Linked DNA regions of Drosophila melanogaster. The protein of the gene in region 1 interacts with the protein of each later gene in a pairwise test. Each region holds a gene or a part of one and is shown on either strand. Other genes may lie near its edges.

Region 1 (5,455 bases):
TGCCACTTGCGATCTGTGTGGAAAGGTTTCGCCCAATAGGAGTGCCATGCTGAGTCACCAGCGATATGTGCATCTCACGGATAGGAAGCACGAATGTAGTGTGTGCAATAAAGCCTTCAAAAAGGCCATCACACTGAGGGAACACATGACCATGCATACGGGCGAGGTGCTTTACAAGTGTCCTCACTGCCCGAAAACATTTAACTCCAATGCGAATCAGCACACGCATCGTAGGAAGTGTCATCCCAAAGAGTTCGAGGAGGCAAGGAAGGCACGCACCGAGAAACGAAAAGCCATCGAGGAGGAGACACCCAGCGTGTTGACCATCTCAACGGGCGAAGATGGGGAATCCCACAGCATTCTGCTGACAAATACCGAGGAGGATATTAAGGGAGATACCATCGAGTTCACTCTGTGTCTCAGTGCCGATACCACAGATTGAAAATGATTTCTGTTACATTTGGTGTACCCGTAACCAGCACAGTTAAAAAATGGCAGAATTGGAATTTGAAAGATTTTTCTAACAAAAAAAAAATGAAGTCAATTTCCTAGACATTTTAAATAACTATCTAAATTAGAAACAGGGTGTTTATTTTTAGATCCTTAAGCTAGCAGCGTTTAACAAAATAGACGGAGATTTTAAGTGGAATGTTGCTTTATGTTGTGGAAACAAATACTAACCCCGTTCACAAATAATTTCCACAGCATTGGGCTCCATTAAAACGGACTCCAAGCACCTTTGCACAGCTGAGCCAAGAATCTCGTCCAGCAGGAAGTTCACCAGACTGCCAAACAAGTGTGTTTAGTTTATCATATCTTTCAGTTTTCGAAACTAACTCACTTTTCATCGCTTACAAATCGCCATAGGTTCATTTGCAGATAATGAGCATCCACCTGAATCTGCTGAAGTCCGAATTTGCTAAAAGTTCTCAGCCTCACGCATTCCAAAAGGGTCTAGAAACATAAATCACGTAAATAGCCACCTTCATTTCATAAACTCACTTACTTTTAGACCAATTTTAATAATTCCCATTATAATTGAGGCCTTGGTGAACTCTACTGAAGTAAAGATTTCCACTCGCTCCGAAAACAAGCGATGTATGTTGGACACATAGCTGGATTCCAGCTGCGAAGGCGTGTAGTTTGACCAATTGGAACGATACTGTGGCTTTGAGGTGGAAGCAAAGTTACTGAAATATGTTTTTCGGCTAGAGTCACTGCTCGCTGTGGTGCGGAATCCTGACGTTGCATTAGTGTTTGCCTCGTACAGACTGGCCACCACCGTCTCGATGCTGCCGAGTTCCTCCACCACACGCTTCATCACCGCACGAACGGATCGTGGTTCCAGGCAGTTAAGCCAATCCCTTGTTTCCACGCTCTTGCGTAACATTTGCGAGATATTGGTGCCCTGCAGCCGCACATAGGCGTCCAATAGTGACTGTGCCGTCTCCCGCATTTCAGCACATATCTCAGTTTCGTGGGTAAGCGTTGCACTGTTCTCCGAGTCGATTTCGTACAGGTCATCAACCAGAGCAATCTGAGGATTTAGTTTGTTAGGGAATCAAAAATAGTTGCAATAGAAAGCTCACCAGTATGTGAACGCCCTGTTGCTCGAGTTCCAGACACGTTTTCGACAGCACCAGCAGTAGATTGGGTGGACTGGAGCTGGAGGCATCTCCGAAACCACACATCACCTTGGCAATATGACGTAGGAAGCCAATGAGTAGGTTCTCCCGAATGCCCTCTACGCACAGGGCGCCCTTGTGTTCCGCCTTGATGTTAAACGACCAGTCGGTGCGCAGGAATATAAGCAAGTCCTGCAGTACACCCTTTATTTTCTCCACCATGGACACATAAAGGTTGCTTATCAGATCACCGAGATTGAGACCAGCAGCTGCATCGCTCTTGGCAGAAACCAGCGACAGACGAACCGCACTCAAACTGTCGGCAAAGTGATCTTTGAGGTTTTTGGCATGGGCATCGCATAGTTGGTGGGCAGCCGAAATAATGATAGATACTGTGTTGCGTTGGACCTCCAAGCCGCGGCAGATATTTCGCATGGCCTGAAGGCGCCGATGAAGTCGATCCAGAGCGCGTAGCATTACCTGGGTATCGCCGTAGCCAATGTCGGACTCAACACGATCCTGGACGAGTGTCAGATACTTTTCGATGTTCTGATTGAGGAAGACATTTAGCTCCTGCAGGGCGTTCTCCTGAAAGTCATCGCTGAAAATGGAATGGATAATAAAACTCAATTAAGATTATACAAAATATTGTTCAATTTACCGCTCATGCTCGTAGTGCTTGGCCACAAACATGTCAAAGTAGGAAGTCACTACCAGTGCCAGATCGTTGAGGAAACCATCGATGCCCATGTCCACAAACTCCAGCATATCACGCTCTGTTTGATCCTGCAGCATGACGATTTGCTCGTGCAGTCGTTTGCCAGCGCAAGTCAGCATTTCGCTTGCCAGATCCGAAGTCTTTTCGTCCAGCTGCAGGAGTAGCTCTCCAATTTCCGTCAAGGATTGGGCCGTGTTCCCAGCCCTTTGAAAGTCACTTCGCAATTGCTCCTTGAGATCTGCCATGATGGCGTCGCAATCTCGCTGGATTCCATCGAAGGACGGCTGTCGACCGTACTGGGCGAACACCTTCTGGGCATGCAGGTAGTCCTGGACAGCTTGTGCGTAGTTCTGTTCCTCGATGAGGGACTTCAGTTTAGCTGGCAGAGTTGAGAGAAACTGCAGCCTTTTGAGGAGCGAGTGTTTCTCGGACAGGCGACATAGTTGCGATCTGGTGCCCTGCAGCGTTCCGGTTATTTGCTCACTAAAAGTCGTTATGGATTGCATCTTGGTCATCAGTAGGTTCACATCCGTTTCCATCTGCTTGAAGTCATCTTTCATCCGGCGAATTGTATCCGTGGCGGAGATGAATTTGTTGTAATTCTCGTAGACCAGCGTCTGCATATCAGAGTGCAATGTCTGTGTGTCCTTGACCACCGCCGCCTCCGTATCCATTATTTGCTTTAAGGAGCAATCCTTTATTTGTGAGTAACAGCCAGAACAAAAAGTGCATAAGTTAATGATTATTACTTCACTATTTTGTTGTTCTTACCTTGAGCAACCTTTCCAGATACTTTTCCGCATCGAAGCTGGAGCTGTCCATGTCGAAGGGATTGGCTTTGGTTTCAGCCATTTTGTAGAACTTTTTTTTACCACTAGTCTAAATAAATAAATAAACTAAATGTTGTGAACTTGTTGTTGCTGAAGATTTATCGTTTTTTTCGTATATCGATAAGTTAAGGTGTGTTGGGCAACGAAAAATGTTTCCCTCATTTAACAGCTGACTACCAATATTGTTATCGATATCCAATACCGCCACACAATCATTTTTTGAACGGTGCGCGTTTAGCAACTTTTTATTTTAAATTAAATAGAAATATTATTATATTATTATTATATTATTAAGTGAATAATAATTTAGACAGTTAAATGTTAATGCAGAATAGTACTGCTATGGCATTATATTGAAAGAATTTTAATTTTTAATATTTTTCTGAGTATTTATAAAGTTAGTGTCTTTATTAAATATATTATTTTATTATCTTTTTTATTGTTTTTTCTTTTTGTTTTTATTTTTAGGCACATAGGTGTGTGATGAATTGGTATTAAATCGTGAGAGACGTGAACTGAGATTATCTTAGTTTGCAAAGCTCTCTGTCATTTTTATTCTAATCGCGGCTTTGTTATTGGGAATCTCCCATTTCAAACTGATAAGAAAATACTTGTTTGTTTTTCATAAATGGCATTAATGTAAAAGGTTTTATTAAAGCAATCACAACATGAAGCTATTACTCTTTGTTTCCGCATTAATTGCAGCTCTGTGCAGCTCATTTGTGACTGCTGGTTAGTAACAACAAAATGTTAGTTAACTAATGTACCTAATTACTTAAACATTTTGTAGATTGCTTAACGGACCCCGTGACAATGCTGTGCATTTTGGACCCAAATCATGGCAAATAACTTTGTATATCACCTGGCTCAATAAAGCACAAAAGTAGAACACGATGTGGGCTTCTGTATCCTAAGTAATTCAACAGTCTCCCCAGACTGAGTTACGTGTGGCAAATCGCATTAAACATTCCACGCCCACCGCCTCCACACTACCAGACATCTTTTTTGTTAAGGTCTTATACCCTGTCGTTGGGTATTTCGAAACTGCGATTAACTATGTAACGCTTATTGAAAGATATATTCTTCTGAATTCTGAATTGCCCTATGTTACAGTTTTAATATCTTTTAAACATCATTAAATCATTTTTTGTAATGGGTATTTTCAGTGTCGTGGCATAAATATGTAGCAGTTGTTTGTACTTCTTGGTGCGTCCTTTTTTATTTCGGTGGGAGTTCGTCTGCCCGCTGGCGACCGTGTCAAGTTGAATGAACATGGACAAGTTTTTGCCACATTCCGAGGGCCTAAAGTTCCCTGTGCTGCTGTATCTCGCATCTGAGTCTCGCTTTTCGGCTGCTGGCCCTGCAGCATTCCCCGTAATTTTCCCACCATTCGCACTATATTTTATCCTGGGCTCCTTTCGCTCTCGTTCCTTTGTGGCGTCTCATTTCAAATACATTAACATTTTGACCTTTCGCAAAAAAGTTCGAGCTGTTGCCGGGGCCGAATTTAATTTCGAGTTGTGTGCAGATTGTGCAAATCACACGCTCTCCAATGCCATCAGCCTCCAAACTTGTATCATGTGCACTGAGAAAAATGTATAGCAATGAGGAGTTTGATGAGGATCCTAATTCGCAACACACTATGCTATTATATGTTTGTAATGAATAACCATTATTCATATTCCAAATCATTTCTATGATTGAAAACTAAAACTTTTAATTGCAATGGTCTTCTTAAAGGTTAGACAAACAAAAAAAGAAAAGACCGACAGTGGGACAGTGTGTCACACACTCGCGCTTGTGTGTGGCATGAACTTTGCTTTCATCAAACTGAAAATTGAATTTACGTAAGCCGAGCGAAATATAACAAAAAAAAAAAGTGAAAAGCTGAAGGACGTGAGGGCGGCGGAAAGCGTCGAACGTGTCAAGGTCAAGTTGCCATTGTCCCAGGTTTTCCACACCTCACTTTCTCCCCCACCCCACTCCTGCTCCCCTTCTCACTTCTGCGTGCGGCACAGAGAAAGCTGTGCACACCACCCACGTTCGGCCCACTAATATGTTTTGTGCAGTTTGAAGTGCGCCAAGTCGTTAAATTAATTTCAGTGCACTCAAAAGCAGGAGCAGCGGAAACTGGAGCACACAGCCAGTGCTCATTTTAAACGGATTATATGTACGGCATTGGAGTGGGCCGTGGGTGGCAGGTGGGGTGTGGCGTAGCGTGGCGTGGGTTCAGAGATTACTGGCAAGTGGCCGGGCCAACTGAAGTGAAGCTGCGTGAGTGG
Region 2 (4,348 bases), on another chromosome or scaffold:
GCTATATACTCGTTTCCCTTCATTGATTTGTGTTTGTCTTAATTCCAGGACGCGGTTTACTACGAGCAGTAGGCTGTATGATGAATCGCATTCTAAAGGAACAAACGCCCAAACATTATAATCGCCGACTGCTTTTTGGTTCGACGTGTTGCATGGTCATAGCTCTAAGAACTTTTTAACCCCTTATTTGATTAACGTTTCCGGGAATCTGAACAGTGCAACGCTTTGATCGATACGGAATCTCCGCAGCAAAGGAATCTCCCGCACAACTTGGATCTGAACCGCAGTTGCACCTTCGTTATTTTATGAACCTCGGTTTTGGCATTTAAAGCTCACCACAATGAAGCACTTACTGACAAACGCACAAAACGGAAAACAGAAAGCAGACTACACACGAAGAATCCGACGAGAACGAGTGCCTTATGACGTCCTAGTTATTGTCGTCGCCCCCGTCCCGTTTCCCCAGATTTATATACCTCGACAGACCTAGCTTTGTTGTACGCATAGGTCGGAGCACAGGATAACTTAATTGCAACCATGGCGTACCTAACTAATTTACTATTACCTTTTACCTACTACATATTACATATTACATATATTTTTGTATGAAACTAATTGCAATCGAATTGTTACCCATTAGAGTGGCCTAGTGAGCCAGCTTTCAAGGCATTTTGAGATCGAAAACATCTCCTCCTTTTTGGTACCGCTCCTGTGGCGCCGCGCAATTTTCATCACCTTCACATGTACTTCATGAATTTATTTATATCTCAGTTATGCTGTAAAATAAACAAACTATGTTTTGTACAAAGCAAATGCGAAATATTCACAATCGGTGGCATTGCGGATTTGGATTTTCTGTACAGAGGACTCTAGCGATTGTTCGTTTGCATCGTGATTCAGTCGTGAACATTAGGAATGTAACTGGGCTAGGCTACTAAGGTAATGTGCATCTCTATCTGTCCCTAGTTGTTCTTGGCAAAGTACTTCGTCTTCTCCTCAGGATTGGGAACGATCTGTAAAGGTAATGGTATCAAAAAGAATTTACCTAAGGCAATGCTTCAAAAAACCTACCGTATCGGCACCTGGCCGCCAACCTGCTGGGCAAACCTCTCCATGGGTGTCCGTATACTGGAAGGCCTGAACCAGACGAATAGTCTCGTCCACAGAGCGTCCCACGGGCAAATCATTCATGGTGATCTGTCGCAGCACTCCGGTCTGATCGATAATGAAGAGACCGCGCAGCGCATGACCGCTGGACTCCAAGTAGACTCCGTAGTCCTTGCTGATCTTATGCGTTAGATCGGAGAGCAGTGGGATCTTCACGTCGCCCAGGCCGCCCTCCTTGCGCGGCGTGTTTATCCAGGCCAAGTGGGTGAAGTGCGAGTCCACGCTGACGCCAATCACCTCGGTCTTGATCTTCTTGAACTCGGCGATGCGGTCGGAGAAGGCAATGATCTCCGTTGGGCATACAAAGGTGCTAAAATGGCAATGAGAAATGCGATCATACTAAATGTAAATGTAAACTTACAAGTCCAGTGGGTAGAAGAGTAGCACCACATATTTCCCTAGATACTGGGACAATGATAGCTTCACAATCTCCTTATTAACCACGGCGGTGCCCTCGAACTGCGGAGCTGGCTTGGAAACTGGGGAAATAAGGGTAGCAGCAACTTAATAGTGATCCCTGGTTTTTTGCATCCAATGGAACTCACTGACTGCCTTGGTGTACTGCAGCTGATGGTCGCCCTTCGGCTGGTCGGGATAAACGGAGCCGCCGGCGAAGGAATAGCACGATTCATTATCTTCCGGCTTGGCAGCTCCAACGAGTGCCGCGGACAGCAGTAGGACAGATAAGTACTTGGACATGATTGGGCTGAAACGAGATCCACGTACGTATATGGCTATTGGATTCGGTTTATACGCTATTTATTACACGCGGCCTTTACAATTATTGCCGCTCTTTATATTTATAATAAATCTGTGTACAGTGGTCGCCCAACTATCTTTAATTTTGTAAATTATGTAAAGATATATAATTTTGAATGTTAATTAGGAACAAAACTAAACTTCAAAGAAAAGATACTCCTTCTATGTACTAAATCCTTGTTCCGTCCGTGTCAGCCAGTCTCTACTGTACGCACATACCCAAAATTCGAACACGCCCACAACTTGTAGCCACGCAGTCAAAAAAGTAACTATTTCAACGGGCAGAACTTCAATTGATTTTGGTGGAACGCGCTTATTGTTGCTGCGCTTCCGAAAAGATAAGCTTATCAATTTCATTCACTTCACTGCTATTATAATTTATAGTTGTCAGCGTGTAACCGATTTAAACAAATATAGTTTACAAAACTACTAAAATTCCAATGCCAATGCGATTGCCTAGCTCCGATTTGAATATTTATTTTTAGTTGCAGGGTAGTTAACTTGCTTGCATTAAGCAACAATGCAAACGCACAGCTGTTACCTTTTAAGCGCTATAATTAACTCTTTTTGTTTTAATAACAAATTGTTCTGCCGGCATTGGTGTGACCGTAATACGCAAAAATACCATACTGTCGTTCCGACACCAATGCATAGTTCAGCATTGCCAACATAAATTTCATTATGAAATATTTGAATTTTCATTTCATATTAACGCGTAACTGCAATTTTGAAAGAATATTATTTTAGAAAAAATATCTGTGCTGCATTGGCGAATCAAAAGCGATGTATGGCCATGCTATGATCTATCCAATTTTTTTTAAGTAAAAAACACTTTCTCAGTTAACTTTTACTTACGCTATAAACTTTATTAAAATATATACAGTTTGTCAAGAAACTGTTTACACACTGTGAAATAAGTTGAATTTTTGACTTTAAAGCTAAAAATAAAGGGTTTTTTGCTTAATTAAACGCAATTTTTTTATAAAATATAATTAAACAATATTTATTTTACTTATAAATCAAAAAACAAATTAAAAATATTAAATATACAAGAAAATAAACAACAAATTCCAAGTTTACACACTTTTGAGACTGTCAAGAAACTCTTTACACATTTTGTTTTCCTACTTTGTTTTGTTCTTTTTCTTAGAACGAACTCGATTTTTCCGTTATTTTTGGCTTTGCATTGCTTTTTACAACGCTTCTATTGAAATTTTGTTGACTTTGCTTGTGAAATTTTGCTGATCAAACGTGCTTAAAGCGAATTATTAAATTTAATAAAATGCCTGGAAAGAGATTAACTTTTGAAGTTACCCAATTAATAAACTATAACCACCAGTTGGGAAAATCTTTTCCAGAATTAGTATAAATGTTTCCTGTATCCCGTAAGACCGTCTACAATGTTTTAAAAGGCTCGGAAAAAGAGGGCAGGCTTGAACCTAAGAGCGGTGGTGGGCGGAAAATTAAAATTAAAAAGCGTGTAGACCGCTTTATTATGCGAATAGTGATTGCGAACCCCCGAATCTCGGTCAGATCACTTGCTCTGGATATCAGGCAAGAATGCCACCTAACTGTGTCACACGAAACTGTGCGCCAAGTCATCCTACGCCATAGGTACTCTTCAAGATTTGCAAGGAAAAACCCTTTGCTATCAGATGCCAATATGGAAAAGCGTCATTAATTCGCTGTGAGCATGATGGATCATGCGGAAGAGTACTGGGATGACGTCATATTTTGTGACGAAACAAAAATGATGCTCTTTTATAACGACGGGCCAAGCAGAGTATGGCGCAAACCGTTGAGTGCGCTAGAAAAACAAAATATCATTCCAACGATAAAATTTGGAAAAATGTCACTGATGGTTTGGGGCTGTATCACCAGCCGTGGAGTGGGAAAACTAGCCTTAATTGAGAGCACAATAACTGCCGTGCAATATCTAGAAATGTTAAAAAACAAATTTGAAGGCCAGTGCAGAAAAATTCGGTCTAGTTAGCAACAACAAGCCAAATCTTAAGTTTTACCAGGACATGATCAGAAACATAAAGAGTGCAATGTACGCACCTGGCGCCTTAATAACTGTGGTAAAGTGATCGATACGCCCCCTCAGAGTCCTGATCTGAACCCCATTGAAAATTTGTGGACCTACTTAAAGAAGAAGGTGGCAAAAAGGGACCTAAAACACAACAACAGCTTATGACTGTAATAGTCGAAGAGTGTGAAAAGATCCCGTTTGAATATGACCTGCAAAAACTTGTCCAATCCATGAAAAAAAGGCTTCAACTTGTAGCTAAAGCCAATGGGGAACATACTACATACCAAAACTTTTAAAATTTTAATAAAATAATTAAAAAATTTAGGATTAAACTTCGATTTAGTGTTTTGTGTAAAGAGTTTCTTGACAGTCTCAAAAGTGTGTAAACTT

What was found.
Region 2: the proteins of Vps51 (region 1) and Prx4 interact in a two-hybrid assay, tested with the Drosophila melanogaster proteins (one large-scale study listed by BioGRID).

What each region holds. Positions count from the first base shown.
Region 1 is NT_033778.4:18,707,581-18,713,035, forward strand, and holds Vps51 (vacuolar protein sorting 51), read right to left. Parts: upstream 3,286-5,455; 5' UTR 3,196-3,285; coding exon 3,115-3,195; intron 3,039-3,114; coding exon 2,287-3,038; intron 2,227-2,286; coding exon 1,590-2,226; intron 1,538-1,589; coding exon 1,007-1,537; intron 955-1,006; coding exon 842-954; intron 786-841; coding exon 677-785; 3' UTR 572-676; downstream 1-571. Other genes in the region: CG15073 (uncharacterized protein), read left to right, coding at 1-442. UniProt on the Drosophila melanogaster protein: May act as a component of the GARP complex that is involved in retrograde transport from early and late endosomes to the trans-Golgi network (TGN).
Region 2 is NT_037436.4:3,040,570-3,044,917, reverse strand, and holds Prx4 (peroxiredoxin 4), read right to left. Parts: upstream 2,560-4,348; 5' UTR 2,468-2,559; intron 2,369-2,467; exon of another isoform or gene 2,146-2,368; intron 1,874-2,145; 5' UTR 1,867-1,873; coding exon 1,713-1,866; intron 1,647-1,712; coding exon 1,529-1,646; intron 1,478-1,528; coding exon 1,072-1,477; intron 1,014-1,071; coding exon 963-1,013; 3' UTR 744-962; downstream 1-743. Other genes in the region: scramb2 (scramblase 2), read left to right, coding at 49-72.